Lepisosteus oculatus: one gene and its partners. The protein of the gene in region 3 interacts with the protein of the main gene of each other region in a pairwise test. Links are inferred from orthologs where the notes say so. Each region holds a gene or a part of one and is shown on either strand. Other genes may lie near its edges.

Evidence for each region.
Region 1: the proteins of dtx2 (region 3) and arnt2 interact in binary tests that used the Homo sapiens proteins (3 or more experiments, as listed by UniProt). The link is inferred for Lepisosteus oculatus from reciprocal best matches to the Homo sapiens genes DTX2 and ARNT2.
Region 2: the proteins of dtx2 (region 3) and sec22a interact in binary tests that used the Homo sapiens proteins (3 or more experiments, as listed by UniProt). The two-hybrid records come from large-scale screens. The link is inferred for Lepisosteus oculatus from reciprocal best matches to the Homo sapiens genes DTX2 and SEC22A.
Region 4: the proteins of dtx2 (region 3) and alkbh4 interact in binary tests that used the Homo sapiens proteins (3 or more experiments, as listed by UniProt). The two-hybrid records come from large-scale screens. The link is inferred for Lepisosteus oculatus from reciprocal best matches to the Homo sapiens genes DTX2 and ALKBH4.

What each region holds. Positions count from the first base shown.
Region 1 is NC_090700.1:42,151,493-42,159,406, reverse strand, and holds the start of arnt2 (aryl hydrocarbon receptor nuclear translocator 2), read right to left. Parts: upstream 3,064-7,914; 5' UTR 2,802-3,063; coding exon 2,771-2,801; intron 1-2,770. UniProt on the Homo sapiens protein: Transcription factor that plays a role in the development of the hypothalamo-pituitary axis, postnatal brain growth, and visual and renal function. Specifically recognizes the xenobiotic response element (XRE).
Region 2 is NC_090707.1:4,672,676-4,680,030, reverse strand, and holds the start of sec22a (vesicle-trafficking protein SEC22a), read right to left. Parts: upstream 3,109-7,355; 5' UTR 2,992-3,108; intron 2,840-2,991; exon of another isoform or gene 2,772-2,839; intron 2,498-2,771; exon of another isoform or gene 2,279-2,497; intron 1-2,278. UniProt on the Homo sapiens protein: May be involved in vesicle transport between the ER and the Golgi complex.
Region 3 is NC_090721.1:2,532,930-2,540,015, forward strand, and holds the start of dtx2 (probable E3 ubiquitin-protein ligase DTX2), read left to right. Parts: upstream 1-3,972; 5' UTR 3,973-4,138; intron 4,139-4,597; exon of another isoform or gene 4,598-4,693; 5' UTR 4,694-4,772; coding exon 4,773-5,055; intron 5,056-7,086. UniProt on the Homo sapiens protein: Regulator of Notch signaling, a signaling pathway involved in cell-cell communications that regulates a broad spectrum of cell-fate determinations.
Region 4 is NC_090721.1:1,371,062-1,378,419, forward strand, and holds alkbh4 (alpha-ketoglutarate-dependent dioxygenase alkB homolog 4), read right to left. Parts: upstream 3,033-7,358; 5' UTR 2,941-3,032; coding exon 2,830-2,940; intron 1,902-2,829; coding exon 1,707-1,901; intron 1,041-1,706; coding exon 534-1,040; 3' UTR 327-533; downstream 1-326. Other genes in the region: polr2j (DNA-directed RNA polymerase II subunit RPB11-a), read right to left, coding at 4,350-4,385, 5,017-5,191, 5,495-5,584, 6,536-6,588. UniProt on the Homo sapiens protein: Dioxygenase that mediates demethylation of actin monomethylated at 'Lys-84' (K84me1), thereby acting as a regulator of actomyosin-processes.

The DNA of each region.
Region 1 (7,914 bases), on a different chromosome or scaffold from region 3:
CACAAGCCTATGGACCTAATATTTGCACACATTGTGTTCTGTAGTGTTGTACTGTAGAGGACGTGGTCCAGCTGTTTCTATTATAATCACTACGAATTACATAAAATTACAAGAAAGGTTACAAATGAAAGGAGGCTTTTTGGCCCAACTAGTTTGTTTGGTGGTAGCTAAGCAATCCAAGGATGTCACCCAGCTGTTTCTTAAAAGGAGCCAAAATATTAGCTTGGATAACATGGCTGCTCCACACTTTCACACCTTTTTATGTAAATAGACACCTACTGTTCTCCTTTTTAAAGGCAATTTCTTATGTCCTCTGGTTGATGTCGCGCTGTTGATTTTAAGCCCACTAGACTGACATGTCAGTGCCTTTGAGGATTCTGAATACCTGGATTACATTCCCTTTACTCTTCTCTATTCAAAACTCATTCATTTTTTCCCCACCACAGTAGGACATTCCTTTCTGACTGGGAATGTGACTGTTCACTCTTCTCTTTTCCAGTTCCAGAACAGCAGTATCATTTTTTGTAATTTGGCTGTTAACATTGTATATAATATTCTGAATGAGATCTTATAAGTGCATATAAGTGCAATCCACTGACTAGCTTACATTCCGTTTGCCTTTTTATTGCTTTTCCACACTGTCTAGGAGATCTAAATGATGTGTCACAATTATAGAAATCTTGTTAAAACGCAGCGTTTCCCATATTATAACTAATTTATGTTTATATCAAGGATATGCTTTCCATTTCTCTAGTTTATGTATCTTTGTGCAACACTCTGGACTTGGGCGCATTAAAAGACACTTGCCAGATGTTTTTCTAGGCTCCTTGATTATTCCTCTTAAGAGGATTATTCCTCTTAAGGGAGTCTTGTAGAAGAGGACTTTCTACAAGACTCCCTTATCTTGGGATCATGTGTTGACTTGACTGAAGAATCCAGATGATGGATTTAAATTAGTGGGCCTTATACAGAATCCAGTGGAACCTCACTAACGACATCACCCCAGAAGTAAGCATCTGGACTCTTTCTATCCCTTTACCAACTTCTAATTCAAAGACATGCATTATCTTGAATGCCATCTTTTATAAAGACCTTGATCAATTTAGCTTTCCAAAAATCCAAATATATCATCTGCCTTTTAATTCAGCCATTACTGCTGCTGCTTCTTCTTCTTCTTCTTCTTCAGCATGTTAATATGTAAGAACTTGTTAGTTTAGCAAGACCTTCCTTTTCTAAATCTATTGATTACCCTCAGTGATTCTAATGCCATATAGAAGATTATTTTCTTTTCAAGTTTATTTTCACTTAGCATCATTCACATAATCTGACATGTAATAGGTACAGGGCTAAATTCATAGAGGCTATATTAGCAGTTTCCCAGTCACTGGATATTAGCACTACACTGTGTAACTTGCGTTAAATGATTAATAATAGAACATACAGTATTCTTAAGTGCAACTGGTAGAATATCAGACGCTGGAGTTATATTTCAGTGTTAACAGTATTTAAAATAGAACTTTATTTCGGCTCAGTTTGAGCATGTTGTAAATTACTTTTATAGTACCCAAGTGGAATATTAATTTTTCCAAGTGGAAATATATTCATTTATCATCTAAATGTTCTTATATTATTAAATGTAAAAATTATATTTTAAAAAAACTAAATATGAAATAAAATTGTTTTCCAACCTGTATCAAAGACAGTAAGATTAATTTATAAATGATGAAAACAGCCCATACACCGAGCATTTTTATCTTATTAAAATAAATAGCATGAAATCCTACATACATTCACATCTACAAACTCTGATCCTAACATTGTGTACTGTATTAACTGCTTTACCTTTCTCAGCTTTCAAGGGTGCATAAACAGAAAGTACCAATTCGATCTAAAAACATGTGCCTTTCAATTAAAGGCAAATGAAGTACAATTTACAGAAAACTTTACATGAACCTATGGAAACCGTAATTTGTACCATAAAAAATAACTAAGCTGCAACACTACAGTAGAAGCACGCTACGTGCATTTAAGAGACGATTTACGTGCAACAGAGTAGGACCATACTGTACTTAATGAACCATTTGTAGTTCTGTACATAATGACTAACATAAAAATGTTCGTACGTAAAACAAAATAAAAATCCAAATGTTTTAAAAAACGTTTCTGTCCTCATAAACAAAATTATTTTTGTTACCTTTAAATGATTTACACATTTCCTTGCAAGATAATCAACAGGCAGTAGAAGCAACAAGCAGTAAACGAAGTAACTTTGTTATAATAAACCTAACGCTACGCTGTGGAGTTGAAATTGGACATCCACGAAAACACATGTCAACTGTCTAACTATGGAAAAAGCTTCAAGATTTTAAGAGAGAAACCTATGAAGTCAAAGCGCGTAGGCTACTGCTTGCTAATGTATTCAGCAAGTCGTTTCCATTTCCAGAGACATCAGTCGGATTGTTGAGAAGATAGACACCTAAATGAATGTGGTAGAGTATTGTTGTATAGCTTACAGTTGTATGTTGTATGTAGCGATATGTTATAAACTGCATCTGTCTTTTCTCGGTTATTTCAGAAAACGGTACAGTGTCCTGTACGTTAGGCTCAGGGGGAAGGGGATGCTGTTTGAGTGACAGACATGAGCATAAACCCAACTGCTGGCTTCTTTTGTTTTAGAGAAAATAAACTTACACGATGCACAACCCCCTCGACAAGGGATTGAACTACTGGTAATAAAGAAAGAAATGATGGAATTAAACCACGTACTTACCAGTTGGATTCACAGCAGCGGGTGTTGCCATGTCGGCTCGTTGCAAAAAAAAAATAATCAAACGAAAAGAGGATAATGACGCACAAAGCAAGACGCGAGGAAAGACAATCAGAGCTACGGTGTTGCACTCGAGCACAATACCGCTCTTTACAACTTCATGAGCAATCGCTGCAAGGAAAACCGATCAAGGAGCATTTAATACGAGTAAATCAACCGAACTTAAACGTTTTCACCTCGTTTGTAACAAATAAGCTCCCTTTCAGATGCAAGATGTCTGAAAGGTAACACCGCGAGACTTCCCCTGAATTAATTAATATACAAAGTTTAGCATACAGGGGGAAGGCAACATCGTAAAAGTTAGAGGACGTGGGTGTTCATTGTTAATGAAGTTGCACATTGTGTTAAATATTAATTTCAACAACTTGTCTAATTTGATGCATCTCGGCTCTGAGTGATTTTACCACGCACCACATCAAAGAACCGCGATTTTCTTGTTGACGCGTTGGGGGGAAAACAGTTTGAGCTGGGAACCCAGGTCTCGGCGGTGCAGGACAGGACAATGTATTAATCTCACTCGCTGAGGGACAGTATTAAATCAAAACAGACTGTTTCTCCGGTACACTTAACATGGCAATTATCAAAGATAATTAACTTTTTTGTCCGGGTTAGAGCAAATGACGATCATCTAGTAAAGAATTACAGTACATGCCCTATCTTTTGTCAATTGAATTGTGATACATTGCGCAACCCTGCCTATTTTTATGTAGATTCTTAATTTTTTTGTTGTTTATAGTAATTAAGCCGAAGCAACGGTGTCACGGTAGATATAGATTTGTGTTTCAAAATGCAGATCAATCTAGTTACCGCGTCTTCTTTATCAGCAGTGATAAGAGACGAAAACTTTTTTTTCCACTTTAACCTTTGCGCATAAAAATTACTTTGAAATCTTTCTTGGGATTGAAAAAGAGGGCAGTATTAGTTGTCAAAACAGTCGAAGAAATAAAGTCAGAAAATTGTTTAAACGGCATGAGCAGTATGACGAAATTTGCAAAACTCATACACAACGCCTAATTTCAATTAAAACAAACTAGAGACTGTGTGGGGTTTCCAAGGACATAACTCAAGTATCAATGTCAGGTAGTAATTATGCTTGAAGTCCGTCGGGTACTCATGCTTAATCATGTTTTACATAACCAGAAGTATTTCTTTAGAAGATATTAATTTATGGCATAATCTCAAGTAGTCCTAAATTTAGATTTGATTCCATCTCTTTGTAGTTGCATACATGAAAAGCAATGTGGGAGTACTAAAATGCAATCCAAGATTATGAAATACCTCTAATTTGAATTATTTTCCCCCATATGTACTGTAAATGTATAGACAGATGTTTATTTAACCCACATACTCCAGATAACCAGGTGCATTTCCTGTGGTATGAATTGGAATATAGTCACATGTGAGCATCTTTAAAATTTAAAGTTGGAAGAAAATATTGTTTGTAAGTATTTTTTTTAGTTTGTGAAAGTGTAGCATTTCCAAAACTATGTGAAATTATGTTCAAAAGGCCAGCTATGCTGTTAAAACATATTTTGCTGTTGAACTTGAACTTGAACTTTATTGCCATATGTAACCGGTACTGGTACAATGGAATTCTTACTTACAGAAAGTCTCTCAATTGTAAAACAAGTGTAAAAAACAAGACAAAGTGCAAACAGTGCATCAAGACAATGTACAAACAATAGACAATGTGCAAGTAAACATGTAGACAGTTTGAATGTAAACAATACAGACGTGTAAACAATGACTGGAGATGTGCAATAGATAAGAAATCATAAAGAGGTAGATGGTGATGGTGTAGGTGTGGTCCGAGGGGGATGGCTAAATGTGTTCGCCAGTCTCACTGTTTGTGGATAGAAGCTATTGTTAAATAGATCAATTAAATCCAGTAACCCAAGGAGAATGCTCTCCTGATTGTAATGGTGATGTGCACAAATAAGGAACTCTTTTTCTAATATACTTTCTTATTATGTTGATATTAAATTTACACAGATCCTCAACATGATTCTTTTAGGATCAATCTATTGTTCCGTCAGCAAATGACGCAGAGAAACTTAAAGTACAAATGCAGGAGTGATAAAATTGTCTTGACTTGCAAATAACATAGTTAAAGCAAACATCCTTTGGTGCTAAAGTCCAGGCCAAAAGCCAAACAGGAGTGCACATCAGAGGTCATTCTCAGCTCCAGCAGAATTCTAGGCCGCTCTGGATTCTACTAACACAAAGGCTGCCAGACCTTTGCTGTCTAAAAGGAATCATGCAAAGTTTTGCAGAAATAGTGCTTTGCAAAACTCTCCTGTCCTTCCTCATTTGGAGGTTATCACTGTTGTCCCAGGTGAAATTACAGAGGTTATCGGCACCTTCACTACTATTGATATTGGTGTGTGTATTAAAACATCTTATTATTTTTGGGTTATTCACACCATTAGCTGAGACTAAATTGCATATTTTCAATACAGGTAAATCTAGCTGTAAAACAATATTTTCTTCCAACTTTAAATTTTAAAGATGCTCACATGTGACTATATTCCAATTCATACCACAGGAAATATGTCATAGAATGTTTTCTCTGGTTAGAACACGGTGCTTAAAATACAGTGTAATCAAAAAGCACCTACTGCATATCAAAATATTCCCAAATTATACAGTATTTGCCACTTATACCTTTTATAATGAGCACAGTGTATTACTGATGTACAGTGCCTTGCGAAAGTATTCGGCCCCCTTGAACTTTTCAACCTTTTGCCACATTTCAGGCTTCAAACATAAAGATATAAATTTTTTATTTTATGTGAAGAATCACCAACAAGTGGGACACAATTGTGAAGTGGAACGAAATCTATTGGATTTTTGAAACTTTTTTAACTAATAAAAAAATGAAAAGTGGGGCGTGCAAAATTATTCGGCCCCTTTACTTTCAGTGCAGCAAACTCACTCCAGAAGTTCAGCGAGGATCTCTGAATGATCCAATGTTGTCCTAAATGACTGATGGTGATAAATAGAATCCACCTGTGTGTAATCAAGTCTCTGTATAAATGCACCTGCTCTGTGATAGTCTCAAGGTTCTGTTGAAAGCGCAGAGAGCATCATGAAGACCAAGGAACACACCAGGCAGGTCCGTAATACTGTTGTGGAGAAGTTTAAAGCCGGATTTGGATACAAAAAGATTTCCCAAGCTTCAAACATCCCAAGGAGCACTGTGCAAGCGATCATCTTGATATGGAAGGAGTATCAGACCACTGCAAATCTACCAAGACCTGGCCGTCCCTCTAAACTTTCAGCTCAGACAAGGAGAAGACTGATCAGAGATGCAGCCAAGAGGCCCATGATCACTCTGGATGAACTGCAGAGAACTACAGCTGAGGTGGGAGAGTCTGTCCATAGGACAACAATCAGTCTTACACTGCACAAATCTGGCCTTTATGGAAGAGTGGCAAGAAGAAAGCCATTTCTCAAAGATATCCATAAAAAGTCTCGTCTAAAGTTTGCCACAAGCCACCTGGGAGACACCCCAAACATGTGGAAGAAGGTGCTCTGGTCAGATGAAACCAAAATCGAACTTTTTGGCCACAATGCAAAACGATATGTTTGGCGTAAAAGCAACACAGCTCATCACCCTCAACACACCATCCCCACTGTCAAACATGGTGGTGGCAGCATCATGGTTTGGGCCTGCTTTTCTTCAGCAGGGACAGGGAAGATGGTTAAAATTGAGGGGAAGATGGATGCAGCCAAATACAGGACCATTCTGGATGAAAACCTGTTGGAGTCTGCAAAAGACCTGAAACTGGGACGGAGATTTATCTTCCAACAAGACAATGATCCCAAACATACAGCAAAATCTACAAAGGAATGGTTCACAAATAAACGTATCCAGGTGTTTGAATGGCCAAGTCAAAGTCCAGACCTGAATCCAATCGAGAATCTGTGGAAAGAGCTGAAAACTGCTGTTCACAAACGCTCTCCATCCAACCTCACTGAGCTCGAGCTGTTTTGCAAGGAAGAATGGGCAAGAATTTCAGTCTCTCGATGTGCAAAACTGATAGAGACATACCCCAAGCGACTTGCAGCTGTAATCGCAGCAAAAGGTGGCTCTACAAAGTATTAACGCAAGGGGGCCGAATAATTTTGCACGCCCCACTTTTCATTTTTTTATTAGTTAAAAAAGTTTCAAAAATCCAATAGATTTCGTTCCACTTCACAATTGTGTCCCACTTGTTGGTGATTCTTCACATAAAATAAAAAATTTATATCTTTATGTTTGAAGCCTGAAATGTGGCAAAAGGTTGAAAAGTTCAAGGGGGGCGAATACTTTCGCAAGGCACTGTATTACTGTTGTGCTGTTGTATGTACATGAGGGTGGCTTGATGGTGTAGTGGTCAGTTCTTAGGTCCTAGATTTGATGGCAGACTGGAACATAAGGACATAAGAAAGGTCTGCAGACGGGAGGAAGTCATTGGCACATCTTAGTCACTTTGTAGCTTACTAGTTAAGCTAAGTTAATCTAAAATGTTATCCAGCCTTTTCTTAAAGGGGACATAGTTTGGACTCTAACCACTTGGCTTGGAAGCCTGTTTCAGACACCCACTTCACTTTGAGTAAACAAATGTTTCCTCTTTTCTATTCTAAATGAATTCCCTTTAAGTTTCCATCTGTGAATCAGTGTCTTTGACATGCTTATTATGTGGAAGACATAGGTGTCTTTGGAGATATAAGAATAGTCTGCTATCAAAAGGGGGTTATTCAGTCCATTTTGCTCGTGTACTTGTTTTGCAGCTGAGTGAATCCAAAATGTTGTCCAGCTCCTTCTTAAAGGTGCCCTGAGATTGGGCCTCAACCACCTGGTTGGGGAGTTTGTTCCAGACATCCACCACTCTTTGAGTAAAGAAGTATTTCCTGCTCTGTAACCTGAATGTTTTCTTCTAAGTTTAAGGATTTAGTGGCCACATCTTTTGAAATTTACCCCAACGTGTTTATTTCTTCATTGCTTCCCACGTTGTCTTGATGGGGACATACAGTAAAAGAATCTAAAGAAACATCCAAACTCATTTCCTGTGTAACTTCCTGCTGCTCAGAATCACCTGTGT
Region 2 (7,355 bases), on a different chromosome or scaffold from region 3:
TAGGCCTTTAATCTCAATGCAGAAAGCGATTATACTACAATTAAATCAATTTAAAAAAACAGTTTAATGACTGTTGACACTAACGTAGACAATCATTAGCATTAGCAAACATTTTATTTCTTCATCCTGTTTTTTAGGTTCAAACATGATTTGCCTTTACGTAAGAAAAAGAGAAAACGACGGACTGAAGTAAAAGCACAGGCTATACACTTTATTCAATATCAAGAAGGCTGCAATAACCTTTGCTGCTGTTAACCTAACTGTAGGCTAAATGGATTTGAAGACACACTTCCAATATAATAAGAATAACTGTCTCCCGACTAGCCAAGAAAGTACATTTCAATGAAGCAGATTCAATCAAGCCTAGCAATACATGAACATTCACATTACAAGATTAAAGTACAACGCACAAGCACAAAATATCTTTCGGGAAGAAAAGTGATATACAAACGCCAGCGGTTATTTTTCATTCTAAGAGTCTGCACCGAACCTAGAATACCGTTTTGCAAAAAAAAAAAAAGAAACGAGAGCCTGTGACATTATTACAAGTCAGAGCTTGGAGAGGGGGTTGGAACAGCACCTTCCGAGCTGAACAACCCTGTAAAATGCAGGGCAGCTGGAGGAGCCCGAACCCATTAGACTAACCACCACCCTGTGGGATGACATTAAAAGAAACCCGACCTGCCGAGGGAAGAAAGAGTTTTACACATTCACGCTTGGATTTCTGCACCCTTGTGGTCTTCCCATTGACTCTTAAGTCCATTTTTGTTTCCCAGTCTATAACCCCCCAGAATGAAACTCGTCGCGGGGTGAAGGCAGACACGAAACAAACCGTTTTGATACCAGCAGGTATAAAACACCTGCTCTCCAGCCCTCTTCTCAGGAACTCCTCGCTCCTTCAGATACAGTCCAACAAATACACCATTATCTGCACACGTGTATGTCTGTTTTTATTCTTGTACGTGCAGGAATTTATTTTGATTTGTTTTACATAATGAAAGGTGGATTATAATTAATCCACATGCCATTCATAAAAAAATATATTTTGTTGCTAAAAAAGGGTCATTCATATTGTGGCGACCTTCTGGAAATAATCGAACCCCTGACAAACAGATAACAGCCATGAGACTTTTTCTCAAGGTTTGCCCTCCCACTAACAGTAATACAACCCCACACACGCAGGACGTTGGCTCCAACACATCTGTTAATTAAAAGCTATTGCCACTTGATTTCTGATTGCAGAATGGAAAGCACCTGACAACGAATTAAGAAGACATTTAAGACAATCCCACTCCAGTCAAAAGGCAACTGAATCCAAGCTTCCCCTTCAAAACAAATATCTCCAAGCACCGCGAGGATGAACAGAGGTTAACTCGTCCTCCCGGGAGCACTTGCCAAACACAAAACTGCAAGCATCGGGGAAAAAAGGGATCACAAAGTGCCTGGCGGGAATGAGAATAAAGCATTCCTTAAATGCCTGCCAATCACGCTGCAACCTAAGAATAAAAGAAAACCTGTGTGGCACAGACAGGATAAGACAGTACTGTAAGTAAATGCCTACCCACTTTTCTTGCATCTCATTTCCTATGTCCTATGGACATTACCGGCCTGCTTGTCAAGCTGTTCTCCACAATCAATACGCTTGGTTGAGAAACCAGGACTGACTGTAAAATGACTGTAAGACACAAATACTTTCAGGGTAGGACATCAAGGAATGATGACCCCGGCAATATAGCAGTCTGTTCAATGTATTGCTTATTTCCGCAATTATCCTGATGGAATACTGCACTTCATCAAGAAGATGTCTTCGCTGCGGATCGTTAGTCTGATCGGGGCCCTGGGAAAATCTGTAACCCTGGAGAGCTTCTGAAAGAGAGTCCCGGCGCCCTGCAGGTAACGTCCTAGCACGGCCACACCGAGAACACACCACCGTGAGCCGGCGGCCGTGGAGCCCGCGGAACCGCAACGCCAGGCACGGATGAAATAAAACCGCAAGGCTGAGTTTTGTGGGGAGCTCTTCAGCGGTGCGTCGTGAAAGGGCTCATCAAACAGCCGTGCCAACGTCTGCAGAACGAGTGTGCGCGACCACAGCTCTCGACAGGCAGGGCAGGCGCGGACATCGCCGGGCACTCCGCACGCCTTTACAGGCGAAATGAAAACGGGGAAATAAGGGTTTCATCTAATGCTCACGGAAGCTGTGGTTGGGGGTGTGAAAAAAAATGGCCTTAACACCTTAACATTTCATTTCTGAAAACTCAAGACTGCTTGTAACGCTTACCATAGGGACAGCATGAACTAACACAAAACCACTTCTCCGCGTTATTGATGTGAAGGCGATCATTAGGGGCGACGCCTGGATGGCTGAGTTGCAAGAAGATTAATTTACTGTAACAAATCCGTTTTTACACCCATCGTCCTCTTTTACCGACATTTATAATTTTGCATCATGGGCATAATTCGCCACAGCAACGCCTTACGATACGCAGGTTTACCTGACGAAGGCAGTCGACAGGCATACCGAGTCACAGGACAAACCTCAGATCCCCGCTGACAAACAGCTGGACTGGACGTAGCCTGCAGCTGTAACGGTATCGCCTTTCTAAAATAAAATCGACTCTCGGCAGCAAGACATAAGGGAACCGAATTCCATAAATTAAAAAAAAAACATGAATGCATTTCTGTAATAGCTTTAGTAACGAGCGTAACATTAACAGATCAAATGCACTCGTCTCCCTCAATCCCCGAACCCGCCTCCCTCTATACCCACTTACTGCAGTGCAGTCATTCCTGGGAACGGCCATCTGATGAAAAAGAGATAGACCTTAAATGTTATTTTTTTCAGTTCCCTGGCAGAAACACAGCGCTCGGAAAGAGATCTCTAAAATCAAGAGGCTTTTCTCGCCGCCGGGTTTATTAAACTCCGCGCAAAGAAGCAGGCCCACGAGCGACAAACCGTGCAAAAGCGTGAGTGAATTTCATCAGTATGCTGACCTGAAACGGACCATGCGTTAAACGGCTGCTGATGAAAAGCCTTTTCGCGAAATTCTTTTTTTTTTTCTCCCCGAGTCACATTTCATCCATGTTCGCCTTCCTCATTCAACGGCGGGGCGAATATGTTTACGTGGCCCCTTCGCGTTGCATTGTGGGTGCCCGGCCGCGGCTCACGCTGCGCCTCGCGCCTGTGTGCTTCACCTGCACAGGTTAGTAAAATCAGCGCTACTGATGTTTGCTCGTTTTTTTTTTTTTTTTTTTTAGATGAGTAAGTAGGCCTAAGTGATAAATATTAAATATTTGCATCAACTGAAATCAAGTAATAGAGCATAAAAAAACACTAACAAAGTCTACAAACCCGAGATGAATCGGTTTAACAAATAATTTAACTCAATGTCCTGGACATCGTTCCTTTGTACAGGAATGTGTAGCTAAGCTGCTATTATTACACGGGAGCTGAAGGGTTGGTTGCAGTTTACTAGTGATTTTTTTTCTCCCAAGAGTGTCTTAAAGGATTGCTGTGCAGCCTTGCAGTCACCTCTCAGAAAAAAATATCCCAGTGATCATTCCTGCAGGTTATTTGAGATTCACAGGGGACACAGAGGGGATCATGGGCAAGATACAGTCACTGACGTATTTGGCTAACAACTTTATTGAAAGCAGCTTTCATGGATGCCCATTTATACAGCTGGGTGTTTTACTGGAGCAGTCTGAGGTCGGAGGCCACAGCAGCAGGGTTCCAGCTGGGATTTGAACCCACGGCCCTACAGTTACAAGTCCAAAGGCCTAAAGACGGTTCCCCACGTGGACGGATTGAGAGAAAAAGGAAATGATGCTAACAGAGAGATATTCTTCTTGGGAGCAGCAGTGATAACTGCATATATCGGAGACGCAGAGCCCGTTATTCTGACATGAGGCAGGGTGAAGGCAGCCATAAATAAGAAAGGCTGCAAGAGACAGGAAGAAGGCAGAGCTACAGGATGAAGTGGAAAGAATAACCCTGAGCCTGTTCTAGGTCCTTTCTGAGTACTGACCCCAGTGCTAGTTTGATGTGCCCTAGGGTACAGTCTCCCAGCAGGACGTAGGTTTGTGACCTGCTTGTCTGTTACAAAAACACTGAGCTTTATTAACTACAGGCTGTCAGACTCCTCTTCAGACTTCCAGTCCATTCCACAACCCTGTTTGTTCAGTCCAATATTTTGATTAACTGGAATACAATTCACCATTCTACAAACAACTCTTTCACACCTTTAAGCAATGTATCTGGTCATGTTTTAAAATGTTTAAGCACACCAACCCAAACCCATAATTGAGATCTGAAGTCCAGGAGTTGAGTATGACACACTTGACCGACCATTGAGGATGTGGCTTCTGTCGCAGGGAGACTGCAAAGGTATTTTCATTATAAGCCAAGATACAGTACTTGTCATTTCACTCTCAAGAAGGGAATAACATGGTCTTCCTTCATAGGGCAGTGGGCACTGGAATATCACAATGAGCTACAGGGTCAGTGACTGACAGAAGATGGTGACTTTGTTAATAGGAGCAGCATGGAACAGTCATTACTGTTTTACCACCAGGTGTGACACAAAAGAAAGTCAAGGTAGGGTATTACCTTCTCTCTTTATAAAAATAAATTGTGAAGTCAGGGGAAACTACAATCTAACCATATGTAATAGTAGCTGAGCTGCATATTGATCAAAGGAAGTGCCTTAAACAGAACCTAGCAGAGTATGTGTTAATACTCTAGAGCTGCAGGCGGTTTTCAATAAAGTTTTAGACTGCTATAGAGTAGTAGTAACGAGTAACGTGAGAATGCAATGGGTAACCACTATTGAAAAGAAAGAATAAGAAAGTTGGCAATAAACTATTACATTATCTCATTAACCACTTGAATTTCTCACCCTCAGGCAAGCAGGCGACCTTAGTGCATAGAAAGCAGAAACTGGCTTCCAGAATGTGCAGTTCCAGATTCATTTTAATTAGTGCAAGTGATTTCTTACCATTCTGAAGTTTAGAGAAGGCCTCAAACAAGTTTAGAGCACATCATACAATTTTAAACTTTGTTTATGAAAACAAATTATGAATATGTTTTGCTACTAAAAGTAGACAATCCAGCTGAAAAATATTAATTATACCAAAGTACAGAACCCTTGTGAACCCAGAGGCAAAAGTTAAATTCTGCTCTCATTATTAGAGGCGTACTAAAAGACTGTATATATTTTTGGTTTCCCCTTCAGGAGCAACTTAATTATTAATGAGATGACTGATTTTTAATGATGAAATAATGCTTTGATAGGGGTCTTGTGAAACTCAGTTTCCAATTTACTAGTTATCTCTGGATGAACTGAATCCTGCAGCCTCTATTTCACTTGCTAAATCATTTTCACACAATGATTTGCATTTTTCAATATTCCTTTTCAATAGGATTCTGGTTGGAGTAAGTAGTATGATCGATGCAGATGAGCCTTTTTAAAAAGAAACTGCAATGTACACAACCAATGAAGCATAAGAAAATATTATGACTGTAAGGGACAAGATGCGTGAACATTTCTGAGAGAGTTACTGGAGGCATCCAACAGCACAGGCTGTAAGGGGTTTCTCTCATCTCCTGGTTCTCCTTTACTGAACTTGAATTAACCCGTCTAAAGGGTGTTATTTACTCTGGCAATTGGATATCAAATTCAGTTGGTCTGAACTTCATCAAGAGGAAACAAGACAAATGGGTCTTTTTCAAAGCCTTGTATTTGAAAGAGTCTCTTTGGGTGACTTTTAGTATAAAATATTGAAGATCTAGACTTACACTGAAGTTTTACAGAAGATCACTTTTATTCTATATTTGGTTAATCTTAGAATTTCCTGTCCCAGAATGGTACTAATGAGTTCCTGGAGATCTCCTTCCTCAGATAATGAGGTGCTTTGCATGCTGGTGGTGATAACAGTTAATGTTTCTCTGTGGTGTTCTGACAAAATAACTATGAATCAAGGAAATGTTCTTGATGAAATTCTGTCAAGTTAAGCCGATGCTATATTATCATTCATTGTGTCCTTATCTTGTTACTAACTATATTCAGTCACTAACTGGATTGAATCTTTACTGTATTCATATTCATTATTTCTGCATACGCATTTACCTCTTGTTTATTCCCATGACGACTATTATAATTTTAGTAGTTCAAGATGAACTGCGATTTGATCGTAAATGTTAAAAAAAGTCTTCCTGAAGTGTTTCTGATGCACCATAAAATCTGTCAGGAAAGGTCGTGTTTTTTTTTAAAGAAATTGCTGTCATCTCCCAGGACACGCTCCATAAAACAGTCTGGAATTATGAGGGTAACCTTGAGGCTCTTGAACCAAAAATATTTCTGAACCACGCAAATGCACCATACTCTGGGAATTAACCAGGCGTGCCATTCAAGTCATCATAAATCCTTACTTGGAAAGGTGGCAAGCAAACTGCAGTCATATAGTAGATAAAATGTATTTTCCCTGCTGCCTAAACTTTTCAAAATAAGCTGATGCAGTTTGGTAAAGGTCAATATCTATGCCTGACATTACTTAGAGACAAGAAGTACAAAAGGCATTTTAATGCAACAGATCACTCTTCTGTCTCTACGGAAGGAGCTGAAATCTTATGAACCCCTGAATATTTCATTTCTTGGAAAAACTGTTGGGCCGGGTCAAAGAACCATTTAAGTCTGATATTGTGCAGAACTATATTTTCCAGGTTGTACCAGAAATAATGACTTTAAATGACAGCCTGAAAGTGTCGTGCTCTATAGAAATAAAACTTTATATGAATCTTTCTGCAATGGATATCCAGTAATTTAGTAATGATCTTGAGAAACATAAGAGAAAATGTTTTAATTTTTGTTTGATAACCTCTATAAAGGCCAGAATTTTTTTTATTTGACTTGTTACATTGGCAAATTGTTTTTGTGAGGTGGTTTCTGTTTTTCAATTATACTGTTTATTCTTATTTAAAAAAAATAAAAACTGTTTCACAAAACATTTATTTTTTCATTTTATTTGATTGAATTCCCTTACTCAGATTGCAAGAAAACTGAGCATAGTAGATTCACTAAACATGCATATTGCACAAGCTTTAGTATTCTGCTCTAAACACTGTTATACCACAGTGATAACCATCTCCTTTTTAGCAACACTCTGAGCACTAACAGAAACAACCAAAGCAATCGCCCAATTTTTCTTAACAGAAACGTAGACAATTTGATCAAGCAGAGTGACTGTGAGGGTAAACAAAACCCATTTATTTGTTGATGTGCAGATTGGTAAGTTAAATTAATCATTTTTATCGGTATAGGTGTCACAGTTCATTTGAGAGTTTTACGCAGCACATTGGA
Region 3 (7,086 bases):
AGCTTCCTAAAGAGTGATATTCACTGTAGATCTCAAATCTGAAGCCGGAGGAAAGCAACGGTTTAGGTTCGAATTTTGATTTCTCCATCATCCTTAATAAATCATGAAGCAAGTGAACCAGTGATGGATTATATTAGATTAACCAGATTCCTGTAGTTAAAACACATACATATTTTTACTAAAGTCATATCTTTATTACTGAGCCCAAATTGTATCCATTTCTAGATTGAAGATTTTTTAAATATTTACGCAGTTTTATGGGCAGGAAATGTACAGTATTTAAAATGTGGCGGCACTTTTGTCAGTAGAGGAAAGCAATCTACTAAAATGAAAATCATTAAATCCATATTGATTTTATCCAGCCCCTTAACCAACATTCAGCACTATTTCTATGTGCATATAAATGGAAATACGTCTGCTTACAAAAAAAGCTATAGTCAAATGTCTAAATCCCATTATAAATTTCTCTGGAGTTTGTTTGATGATCATCAGTTTATTCATTTAATTTGTAATACCTGATCTGCCATTTGAGAACTTCAGAATATTTTCTTCCATGAATTATGAAGGGAGGCTAATTATTTCTTTGTAAAAGGTTCAGCTTGTGCTGAGAAAGTAAATCTGTAGACTAGACATATTTTTGAGGTGATTCTTGGGATTTCTTAGATGAAATCAAAATGAGCTCAGCACCGCTTGAGGTGTATCGATAACTGGCTACACCATATGAAGATTCCCAGCATAAAATGTATGAATGTAGTGTAGATAATTAGCAAAATGTTCAATCCAACAGACATTTATGAGGTCTTGATGATTCTATTTCGGTGTGTGTTAGCCAATAAACTTGAAAGTTTACTTTGTTATAATCGCCAAGATCTGTTTTCTTCCTTTATTAACAGAACAATATATCACATATTTGAAGTTATGCTTGTAACGCGTCCAACTTTTCCTTTGTTTAATGAAGCAGACTATTCCTGCCATAATCAAAAAATATTCCCTGTGAAAACAGGAGCCCCTCCCCCCACAAAAAGAAAGTGAAAGAGTACAGTTCTAGTTAGTCAGATGTTTATTCTTATTTTGAAAGGGGGATTCTGAAAAAATCCACTTGATCACAGGGAGAACATGCAAACTCTACTTAGTTTAAAAATTCAACTTCTAAATATTAACCAAGCCATGCTTGACTGAACTGGCGAAGATGTGAGGACTAGATCTTATTTACAGTATCTGCAACATGATTACAGCTTCTATAATATACTGTGGATTACTGTCTTCCAGACAGAGAGAGTGAGAGGCTGTCAAAGGCTAAGAAAGCCCAGTAACTCTGAGAGCAAGTCCGCTTGAAATTTGTTAAGGAGAGCTTTAAGAGGAGAGATGCAAAACTCGGGGATTGCATTCCAGATGCTGTTTACAGACAAATAAGTCCCTAGTGACCCAGTCTGAATCACCGTAAAAGTGATGTTTTTTATTTTTCTCCTTTGGCCCATTCCCATAGCCTGTTATTAATAACCACAAGTACTTTCTTTCTCTTACGATGGTCTTTTAATAGAAATGTAGCTAATGAATTGTTTCCATCGCAGCCAGGAAAATTACATTGTTTTGTTGAGTGCTCTGCAGTCCATCCATTACACATTAAATCGTACTCCCAAACCCTTTATGCAATTTCACAGTTAAATATCTTCTTCACCTCAGGAGAAACAGCTGCAGAACCCCATAGAGTACATGAAATACTAACACAGCAGGGCAGACTTGAAACTGCATCAGGTGATATAAGCAAGCAAACCACAGGGAATTGTAGTGCTGTATCACAGAGCAGTTGCCATATGTACAGTAGATACAACCCATGTCAGAGCATCCCTAGGGTTTTCAGTCAAATGTCAGATAAAAAAACACCCTGAGGTGTAAGGAATTTAATTCAACATTTAAAGCTCAGCTACATCAGTCTTTATGTAAAAACCTCTTTCGTAGCTGAGACTGGAGGCTGTAAATAAAAATAAAGCACTAATACAGGTAAAGAAACTATTTTTACCACCTAGTTAAAAGTCCTTGATAATAATATCACTGTCTGCCATACACATGAATAATTTATGCATTCTCCCACCTTTCATGTTTTTCCTTTTTTTCCTGTTTTTTAAAATTTGTGGATCGCTCAGAGACAGACACTCCAGTTTCTCAAGCTAATGTAACAAAAGTGTGAGGTTTTCTAAAGTTACTGATATAACTGAAGTAGTCATTTGGGTTGATACCATTGAGAACTGTACAATTGTGGATTAAAATCAGTTTATCTTCTGTTTTCAGAGCTAACAAGATATCCCACTAACCTCTGTGCCATTGCTCACTTTTCCCAGCAGGCATTATTCCTGCATTTTCGTATCTTTCAAGTTCCCATCCCAGTGTTTTATTTCCTGTACACCTCAGTGCTTGCTTTTCCTGATTTTTGCATGAACATTTTGTCCTTTATGCAATACTCCTTGGAGAGCAGCCATGCATGTGTCCTGAGATTCCCAATACAATAGGGTTTAGTTATTTGCTCTGTCTGTTAGATTTTGAAAATGCAACATTTGACCTGAAATCTCTGAGGCAGGAATCTGCAGAAATAGGTTAGACCATCCATGAAAGAATGCGTTTGTCCAGGTTTTCCATATATAGATATAGATATTAGTAGTTCAGGTGGGTAGCTGCGTCAGCATGCGTAGGCTGCAAAGGAACAAGTAATAGGTTTATTCCATGCTGAAAAAAAGAAGAAAGAGAACACAACGTTTCAGCCGTGGAGCCTGCTCGCCTGAAGTTCATACCTGAAGAAGGCTCCACGGCCGAAACGCTGTGTTCTCTTTCTTCTTTTTTTCAGCATGGAATAAACCTGTTACTTGTTCCTAGATATAGATATGCCTAGAATAAGCCTTTCAGAAAGAGATGATTGTGAAGACACACTGAAATGTGGGAATTAGTGCGCAGTTACAGTATATTCCTTACCTTAGCCCTGTATCTGATACGTGTGGGTTCACAGAACTGTGCTGCAGTCTGTGGAAGCAAATGAAGTGGACAGAGTGTGGCTTGCACAGTGAGTGCTATTCAATCGTCCATCCAGGGCAGGGAAACAAGTTCAGGAACTGCAGACAGACGTGGACAGAGCGAGCCCATGTCTGGGACTGACGCCTGCTTGAATGGAGCCTTATTCACAGATGTCATTTAATCTGCGCCAGAAACCCAGACACACCGAACACTCAATGAGAATGAATGTGGAAAGGCTTGTTTCAAGACCGCAGGATGATTTTTTATGCACTGTTTTATGACATAAGCTGATACAGTGTTTGAAATCATGGAGGTACTGACAAAACATCTGTAAATACTACAATCTTCTTAAACTGATTAGATTAGATTAACAAATAGATGCAACAAGGTTTTTTACATCTAAACTCACTGGATTGAGCATATACTCTCCTTGTTTACCCTGTAGCTGTCAATCTGTTTGCTGATGTATCCAAACATGGCCTTAACAAGTTGCAGCATGTTAAGATCTCACCTGCCTGGGTCTTAACTAAAATTAAAATGCATTTTTTCAATGGAAAATTGAATTCAATTCTGTTTAATTTGCATGTTGTTCTGTTTAGTCTACACTAATTAATTGATATGTTAATTAGTGTACACTTGTCTCTGTAGTTGTAATTTTATCTTGTTATATTGTAAATTCGTTTCCATGATGTTACAAAACACACTTGATTGAATGAAAACTCTTATTCTAACACTATTTTTCTTTTGGTAGCAGATGTTAATGTCTCTCATAGTGGGGACAAGAAAAGACAAAAGGGTTCTGAAATAACTACAGCAAATAAAGATATGTAATTTATCATTGGAAACACCAGAGCCTAATTTATCATGATTCCTCATACCGCTGTCCTGGGGGTAACACAGCAGTGACGTACTTTTCCTGCGCCGTTGCGACTACAGTCGACTACAGTTCTACGACTACAGTTCCCAGAAACCTCTGTCTGCAGCTCGGACGGGTGTTTCCGATATGAGATCCGTGAGAAAACTGGAAACGAGTTTAGTACAGCTGTCGGAAGAGCTCGCAAAACGACGCGTGTGTTTATTCCTTGAAATCAGCCTTGTGTTGGAAGCTGTAGTTTTGCATTTCGTTTTATTAATGGTATATTTGTGTTGTTTTTTTTAGTTAAGGGGGAGACTTCCTATGATACTGCCTGTGTAAATTGTTTACATAGCTACAGCGCTACAGAGACAGGAGCTCAGAATGGATAGCATTGAAGTTGGGTATTGGGTGTTTAAATTGTTGTAGCAAGTTTAAATCTAGGTATACGTGCTGTAATAGTTTCTATTATTTTCCGGCTGTGGCGTGCTTGAGTCACTCGAGTGATGACAGCCGTTCAGGACGTGTAGGGTAACTTGCTGTTTCCATTTAAATTGAGTTTCGGTTCGGTTCGCTTGTGGACAGCACAGGCGACAGGGCAGAGGTGTCGTGAATAGCGCACTGGCTATTTTATCGCATGCATTCGACTGAAAGGGCAATACACGATTAACCCGGTGAACAGTTCTAAATGACGTTTTATCCTAAACGATTAACCAGGCTGTTTTTTTTTTAATCTGCCAGTGAGCTACGCGAAGGATGAGCAGTTTCGGACGCGTTGACGGTGTCGCAAGTTGGGTCTGGTCTCGGTGATCTGCGACTCCTGTTTCATGATTGCAGCGCGTAGTCCAGCTCAGCGAGTCTTGCACGGCCGAGGAGGAGAAGTTGCCGTCTGTACCGCAGCCCGGCTCGGGTGGAGATGGCGGCGGCTTCCGCTCCGGGCGGTAGCGGGTCGGGACCCCCAGCCGACCGGGGCTCGGCGGCGCAGCTGCAGCCGACGGTGGCTGTCTGGGAGTGGGCGGACGACCTGGGGTACTGGCGCCCGTACAGTGGCCAAGTGAGCGGGTACATTGAGCGGTGCCTCCTGACCCAGCGGGGCGGGGGGCCGGCGAACACCAGCATCTCCCTGGGACAGGCTGACCCTGCCCTGGCGCCCTACATCATCGACATCCCCAGTCTGAAACAGTTTCGCCAAGACACGGGTAAGTGGCTGTGGTTCTTCATTTAGAAGCGTTGGTTAGTGCCCCTGCGCCTCTGGGTTGCGCCGGAATGTGACCAACCTTTCTCTTGGCAATTCGTGTAATTTGGAATTGACTGAGTCTCCTGGGATTCCCCGTCCTTTTTCTTCTCAACGTTACTGAGTAATCGTCAGTGACGTAATGACTCTGTCAATGTCTTTTAGCTCTGTAGACGTTCAGTGTGTTTTTTTTTTAAATTTCCAGTGTTTAATCTTACAAATCTAGCACTTCATCAGCAATGGTGCCCGTCTGTAGGTACAGCAGCGTCAGTGTATACAAGGAAGCAGGATCCTTTACTAAGTTTTCAGCTCAGTTGAGAAAATAGTGCAGTTAGTTCGGCAGGCTATACAATATAGGCCTACTGAGTGGTGTTTGTCAGTTTTAACTTTTGCCCATCAAAGAGCCAACTGCAAGCTGAAAGACGGATGGAAATTAAAAAATAATAAACCAGTCGTATTTCTCAGCTATAAAATCTATTTCAGCTGAGATTCCTGTGACATCGGTAACTTTCAGGATGGCAAGAGATCACCAGACTGCAGTCTCATCAGTGGGGAAGAGCTCAAGAGTGCATATTTCACACACATCACTGGAGGGACCCCAGCTGTTCAAACAGATCAGTTACTATGGTGTCCAAATCTGATGGCCCAATTTCTTTGTTTTTCTAAATGGTGAAGATTGCTTAAGGTGCTGACTTGTTCTCATCTTGTGCATGTACTGTATGTTTCTTGTTAATGCTTTCATGTTGTGTTAAGTGTATTGTGTGTTGTTATATTATGTCTTCTACCTACCCCCAGAGCATATTTCCTATCTGGGACAACAAAGGAAGTATGTAAGCAAATGTGTTAATTAGTTAAGATTCCTTAGCAAAAGAAAAAAAAGTCCCAGAATGTTTAGTTCACCACTGAATGGGTGGAGGTATGATGGAAACTGCAGTAAATGCACAGAGGACCTGAAACAAAGAGGCCTGCGTGTGCTGGCGAGGAGGCAGTGTGCAGCACTGGAGTGCGTCTTTGTTCTGAGGGCTTGTTACTGGCACACGAGTGGCTTGGAGCAGGGTGCTTGCTGCCACCTGCTTGGTGCAGACGGGAAGCTACAGAAAAACCGCAGGAAATCCAAACTACATTAACTTCAGCATCTGAACATAGCAGGAAGCCCAAAACAGTCTATTGGTGGGGATCAGCAGCCTTTCGCACACTAGAAAGAGACGATTCTGCAAGCACAGGCAGCTTGTATTGATGGAAGTGTAGATTTTGCAGCCTAGGAAAAGACTCCCTCTGACCCCAACATTTATGCCATCAAGTTTACTTTTTGCTGCAGCATTGGTCTTGGTAATTTCTGCTTTCCTTAGGTTGAAACAGGATTACAACCAATGTCCTTTGATTTTTCTAATCAGTGCCATGATTGCAGAGGATTAGTGTTGTGGCTTGTTTTAGTCCTATTGAACACAGCACTTGTCCAAAAAGACCATCAGCTTATACCAATGGTCAGTCCTGCTTGATCTGACCATGTGGCTCTTTCTGAGTAGAAGCAGAAATTTGTGAGGCAGTTGACCTCTGATTAGATAATAAGAGTTTCAAAGATTGTGTGGGTGGAAAAAACCTAGTAGCAGGTAACTTTTGACTGGGACCGATAGGTGATGCACAATAGTGACAGTGCTCAGAGCAGATAATTGCATGGGTCTTAATGTAACACAACAGATAAGTTCCCTAAGCCTTTTAGATATAGAAAACCATTTCTGATATGCCTAAAAAAAGTGAAAAATGTCTTCAAAAACAGAAGATAGCATTTTTATCATCTTTTGAAAGGTCATTTTTTGGTTGGTTTCTTGTTCCTGAAATTTGAAATCATTAATATGAGGAAAGAAAAACAAACAAACTGCATGCTTCATTTTTTAAATTCTCATTAGATTATTAAACATTTAATATCCATCCACTTTTTTTTCTTTTGCCTTATCCAATACAGCGTCTAGGGGTGTACAGTAGCAGAGCCTAACCT
Region 4 (7,358 bases), about 1.2 Mb from region 3:
CTTTCTCAACGAACATAATGGAGAACAAAGCCTCAGGCCACCTCCAAAAGCAGGAACATGAACATCACAGCACAAAAAACTGGGATCTATCTGTCTGTTGTGCAGTAATCACTCCAGGTCTGACCTCCTCATGCAGCAGTGAAGTGGTCATAGCCACACTTGAAATTTCTGTGTTTCACCATTCAGCATCCTGTTCCTCTACAACGTTTAGTTTTACCAAACAAAATACCACATTCCTCAGAAGGCGAAGACTCCCTCAAACCACCGCGTGCACGTAGGCTCCATATCCACCACGGGACGTTCAGACAGAACACTGATTCATCTCAGACCTCAAATCAACAGTTTAATAAATACAGTCAAGCACGTACAAACAGCTGAACACAATTTCTTTCAGAATCAAGCTGAGACAACAGAAGAGAGGGATCTCAGCTAAGCACATGGAATATCTTCTCGGGGAGATCCGAACACCTGGGCCACACACCCCTGGGCTCCAGGCCAGAAGGTTTCCGCCCCAGCTGGACTCCCAGGGCCTGCTACACTGGGATCCCCTGAAAGCTGAGGGCTACGTCCAGCAGCTGAGAGCCGAGGTTCTCCTGCTCCCCCCCGGACAGGAACTCCGCAGACAGCTCCCGGAAGGTCACGCAGACCCGGCGGTCCCGAATGTCCTGCCTGCGGACCGCGTGCTCCCACTGGTGCCGCGCCTCCCCGTACAGCGCCAGCAGGGCCCGGCGGGGCAGGGGCACCAGCACCCACACGCCCCCCGCCCCCGCCCGCTCCCGGCTCATGGTGAGCACCGTGGGGGACAGCAGGTTGAGGGTGACCAGGCGCTCGCCCCACAGCCAGGCGTCGTCCAGGTGGGGGTCGATGGCGGAGCCGCGCTGGGGGCTGTAGTCCAGGTTGCACTGCTCCACGGGCTGGAAGCCCCCCAGCAGCGGCGCCCGGCCCATCCTGCGCACCAGCTCCCGGCTGCACGGGGGCAGGCCGCTGAAGCCCCCCAGTCTCACCCGCCGCTTCTTGAAGTTCACCTTGGGCCCGAAGTCCTGGGGGGGAGGAGCACAGTCACTGGGGCACCACAGAACGATGGTCTGACGGTGCGGAAAGACACGTCTCTTATAAAACCCCACACGACGCAGAGACTGGGGAAAGATGCTTGCGGAAATATCAACGATTTTCTGAGATTTAAACTGGACCCTAGAAATCTGCTTCTGGACGAACAGCAGAGGCAGAAAAGTGCCCCTTGGGTAACGTCTGAATCGCAGGCCTGAACCAAATCACCAGAAACCAGTCGAAGCTGGACAGACCTAGCGTTCAGATGTTGAAGATCTCTAGGAACGAAATCTATCTCATGGAAAGAAATACCCACAGAATTAGCCATCAATTTGTAAAAAGATCATCAAAACTGGAAAGCTATGTTGAGACTCTCAGTCATGTGATAGGAACAAAGATGCAACAGACTATACAAATGATGTAAAAAGTAATTCAACACTGTCTGCTTCTTTTTTATGTATGTGGGAAAAAATAATATCATTAGCCCCCGCATAATGACAATAAAGGATGTAAAAAAGCAGATGCAGGGTTTTTCCATGAATCAGCTGTGCATGTCGTTTCCTGGAGAGTGCTGTTCATTTAGAGAAGCACTCGTCGCTGGGGGAAAGAGCACACGGAGAAAAGACACGAGTCACCGAGCGCCTCTCCTGCTACCGGACCTGTTTCCTGCGGCCGGACTGCGAGTCCCTCCAGGCGTCCCGGTCCATCGCGCTCACCAGCTCCTGCTCCTCCGCCTCCGACACGAAGTTCTCCCACAGCAGGACCCCGGGGAACGGGAAGGACTCCTGGACTCCTGGAGCCTCCGCTCTCACCGCCAGCCCCGAGGACGGCTCGTACACGAAGACCCGGCGCGGCTGTGTGGCCAGAGAAACCGCCATGATGTTCACACCTTGCACGGCTCGCTCACGACCTGCCGCAGGGCCTTACCGCCACGCAGCGACACGTGACACGTGCGCATACAAACCCAGACAAACACAAATCCCCCTTTAATGCTGTGCTATACATCTTAACACCTTCACGAGTAAAACAAGAATGTTTAGGAATATTTAAGAGTCTTCTAAAGGAGGAGAGGGGTAATCTGAGAACAGCACCAACAGAGTGCTGGAGACCGTCGGGGAATCCAATCTCTTCAGGCATTTTTTATCAGGGGAAAACAACAGCAAAAAAAGAATTCAGAAAGTGCTTTACAACTCTGCAGTCAGGAACTGTCCAGCTACTATAGTATAAAGATCTATTTTATGGCCCCATCTGCTGGGGATTGTGTCCAAATCCAGTTCCCCAGGATTCTATCCAAAAATTGCTTTAATAAATACAAGTATCCCAACAATAATGATGCTGAATAGAAAACAAAGAATCACATGGAAAAAAGCTGCATCTCAAAGCATTATACAGCACATCAGTTTGCTGTTTCCATTTATTAATGAAAAATTGTGCAAATATAACTTTTCAGATCTTCTCTTAACTGTAGGGTGAACTGCATTTACCAGATGGTGGTCTATATTTTCAGATGATTGATAATGGAGTGTATTATTTAGTCATGAATGTATCGAGTACATTAAAAAGGGGGTAAAGTCTTTTTTTACCATTCGGACTGAAAGCATTCTTAAATGGATTAGTTGTATACAATCCCACAGCTCATTTTTTAAGGTATCCTTGTAGCGGCGAATGTAATGATCAAAACAAAGTAGAGATTCTGAAACTTGATTTTACAGTTTAAATAATGCCAAAGAGCGAAATCTGGTGTATGAAACTTCTCAGTACACGTACAGTGTGACATCGTACCTGCTGTACATTAATCCGGTTGTCCAGTTTCCCATTGCGATTTTCACAGATCAGACAGGAGCGGATTCCTTTACAGGCACAGTTGGCTTGTAACACTTCTTCGTCCGCCATAAAGGTCGACAATCCCACGGTGTAAACACGACCATCAACAGGGAGCGATCATCACACAGCACCACCACAAAAGCCCTCCAGTGTTACATCCAAATGTGCCCCCCGGAACTTCTTTCCGCCAAACATGGTTCCACATTGTAACGGATTCGGGTTCTCCGGGCATGTGCCCTCGAACCTGGGTCTCCGGCGTCATGCAACAGTATCTATACCTAACAGTACAATATCTAATGCGTAAAAAACAGCAGCAGTGATTGTTTAAGAAACAAAATTGAGATATTCTGCAATAAGTGATTGTTACTTCAGTGTCCAGGAAGCTCCCATTCGTTTTTCATTATCCAACAGATAAAGTCTTTGCTTAAGCAAATAAAATCCTAAAAATGAGCATTTACTGTTTTTTAACCCACAGCATGTGAAGAACATCAAACAAATCGATACCCTTAGAAATCCAGGCAGGAGAGTTTTAAAATAAATTTCTCATCGGCTTAATGACTTTTGACGAAAATGAATTGAAACTGGGAGTTCTACAATTTACACACTCAACATCCAGTTAAAACAAAACACAACAGTATACTTTTCAATTTTTTAATCAAATATTTTACAAAACGTAACATTCTAGTTATTTACAAGTAAATCAGGGTTTACCGACTACAAAGCAACATACTCTGGATGTACGCACATTATTAAAAACAATTACAAAAAGGGTGGGAAACACACATGTTCCTTGCTGACTAGTAAATTCAATTAATTGAGACCAGCTAGATGACAGAATGATTCAGACCTCTTAAGACAGACCTTCTCATGAAACAATAATATATTTGCACCTTGTAAATTAGTCTTGTACTTAAATACAAGATAGTTTTCAAAAACACACTGGCTGCCTTATGTTTCACAATTAAGATGCTGAAAAACCTGACTTTATTTGAACAGGTTGCTTTTGTTGGGGCTAAAGCATTTATATAATGCGCAAACAGTATTGAAAATTCAGACAGGGACGTCATAATTTACAAGCCTACCCTGTACATCTCAAATAATGACTAAATCAAACTTTATAGAATAAACCTACATAAAACGAAATCAAAACCTACTAGAACATTACCTGCCATAATCATTACAGCTCCTACAATAATTGCTTGAATGCTCTGACAGAACAGCTTTGGAAATGAAAAGGAAGACAGTCAGTGAACTAATACACTGATACTATGTGACACAGTAGGACATACAGCAAGGCACACCACTGGGCTCGGGGAGAGCTGCCACACGGGTGTGCCCTGCCATGGGAGCAGTTGGACAGGCCCTGCTCACGAAACACTCGGGTTTAATATAAATGCATGATGAACAGGGCTCTGATGGGGGGAAAGCTCTTTCAGCATCCAAAGTCGAGGGAGAAGCACTTGAGCAGGAGACACCGTTCATTCAATCCCTTCTTGTTTGTCCTTGATGGCCACCTGCAAGACAGATGTGTCAGTAGTCCCCCCAACAACCCTCATCTCCCAAGAGCGAAACTCACACCAGCCAGGAAGGGCTTCCTGCCGCAGACTCAGAGCACGTCTCCAACAGACCAGGAGGAAATCACAAGCATTTCTGTCTGGGTTTTAGTGATAGTACAGCCCTATCACCTATGAGATGTTGAATTCTCCTAATGAATACAGGCCCGTTTCCAATCCCTGCTCAGTTAGGTGAATTTCTAACCAGTACTCCTGCTGGAATTCAGCATGTTTTCAATCTGGCTGCACCCCGGAAGATCACGGTGTTTGAAGTCACTCTTAAATCACTAGAACAGTAATAATAAACAGCAAATACTTTCATCTCTTCTTAACTGGCACACAGCTTACAGCAGTGTCATGAAGGTTCAATGAATAAGATTAGACTATTTCATTTTCCATAGAAAAAAATAGCTAAAGGGTTTTATTTTGTTCCTGCTATACCACCAAGCGAGTTGCATGTTCCTCTGTAAAATAATTCTGTACAGCATGTAAATCATTTCTTATTGTGTACCATCGCCTTGCCTCGGGCATCTACTGTCCACCCTCTGGCCCCAGTAATCTCCCTACGGACAGGCAGGTGGTCGAGACTCACCCTGAACCTCTCCTCCAACAGGGACAGCTCGCTGATGAGGTCAGTGATGGCGTTGGTAAAGGCCTCCTGAGGGCTGTAGTCCGGGGTGGTCTGCACACGGATCACAATCTTGTGCTCCAGGGGGTGGGGCACCTTATATCCCGCAAACAGCACCTGAGGATCTTTCAGCAGCTGCCTGCGGACATGTGAAGGTGGGTCACAGACACAGCGGTAAGGGGATTGAGCACAAGGAGCTTGTAAATCATCTCTGCTGGGCTCCAGGCCCGGAAGGGGTCATGGGAACTAAGCACTGATGCATCTGATATGTGAAAATAATAGGTGATGTAATCATCCTGTCCTAATGAAAACGATGCAAACATTTTTGGCCCTCCATAGAGATTTACACTTGGTTATAAATGAGATTCAGTTATAAATTGGTGCAGTGTAAACTACCTTGCCTAAAAGAAAATTCTCTCAAGTCTATGAATTGCTGACTTACGATCGGATGATATTGCCAAGGGTATGGTCCTCTTTGTTCAGAGTGAACAGACAGGCATTGGGGACCTTCGTGTCCTTGGTTATTGTAATTCTAAAGAAACAACAGAAGCAAAGACAAACTGTAGGTACAGTCACCAGACAGAGGGAGCCTGAGCTACCCCAGCCTTAAACAAAGTAAGCATCACAGGCATTTTCTTTTACATTTCAATTACAGTGTGGCAATGGGGCTGAGCTCTAAAACTGGTGAAAAAACAGGCAGAATTCAGGACTTTAAATATAACGCAAGAAAAGGGTGCTCAGAAAGAAACATAGAACGTAATCACATAATACACAGCTTTTATATCCCACACCCTTTATATTACGGTTGTAATTATGACATTTAAATCTTTTAGACAAGAGAAGAAAAGAAACACAACGTTTCGCCCGAGGAGCCTTCTACGGGTGTCACCTCGGGTGATTATGAGTATTTAGATTAATACAATTCAACTCCGATAATGTATTTAGGTAGAAATCTGAACATTCACAAACTACGAAGGACACAAACCCGAACCCTTCCGCTCTCTGCGCACAATATATACAAGGTATTTCTGACGTAAAACAACATACACTGATAAGACTTATTAAAAACCGTTCATACCACTAAAAAGGGGGGGCAAAGGGTTCTCAAAATAGGGTTTTGTTGAGATTTTTTGGAGGGAATAATGATAAACGGTTTGGCAGAAAACGGAAAACATCGATAGCAAATTCCAGACGGAAGCAATCGATCTCTTTTCCCCCTCAAACGCTTCCGTCGAAAAGAAAAGAAAGCAAAACAGTCTTTCACAGGTATTTAAAACGCAGCCACGACCAGTACATTTTACGTTTTATAATTTAAAATCTACTTCTACTCATACTGGGCCAAAAGCCTGGAGATAATATGTTTTCAACCCAGGAACAGCTTCCTGCCGATGAGCGAGGCGCTATCGCAGCATCTCTTCGGAATAATTTAGCACACCTCATCACAAAATTAAAAACAGACGATTAATAAACGTGTACTACTCACTTTTTCTCTCCCTCGAACAACAGAAAGGACTCGAATGCCGGCGGCGCATTCATCTTGAAGTAAGTTGTCCCTGAGAAGGAGCCGGAGAAACGCGCCGCGGCGGAATTAGGACAGAGCAATGGCGGCCGCGGCAGGCCTGGGGTCCGGCCACCAGGGGGCAGCACACACCTGTCTGCTGACGAGCTCCCTAAACTACTACGACTACTAAACACAGCGTTGTATGATCATAAATAAACAATAATAAATAAGAATGCGAAATGAAAACCTTTCTTTTGAGAGAAATGCATATAATTAGAAGAGTTACGAAAAAGAGATGCCTTTTTTTGCGTTGTGATGAAAAAATGACTGTACTGCTACACTGGGCGGTTGAGTAACTATGAAGTTTGGCAAACCGTCCTTCTTAAGTGACTGTAGGCTTGCATGTAACTCTAATGATCCTTATTAACAGTATCATAGTAAACACAGTGAAAAATGTGTTATAATACTTTCAGTAAAAGATTAACAGCACCATCTCAATCAGAATCTATTTTATTGTCCACAAGAAATAAGTGGACATTGTCCTTTGGCTTGACAGAGGCAATAATAAGAAACAGTGTGTGTATATATACACAGACTAATAATATTAGAATACTGCCTTGTATATCTTAGGGCCATGTAGTGTTTGAGTCTCTGTACTCACAACCGATGGATTGTGGGTTCAAGGCCCAACAGACCCTGCTGTGTCCCTTCAATGATCACAGCCTCACTCAATTAGCTCCAGTCCACCCAGCTGGCTGGAGTCATGGGCTCTGTTTGTTTAATGCCTTGGAAACCAGTATGCCTC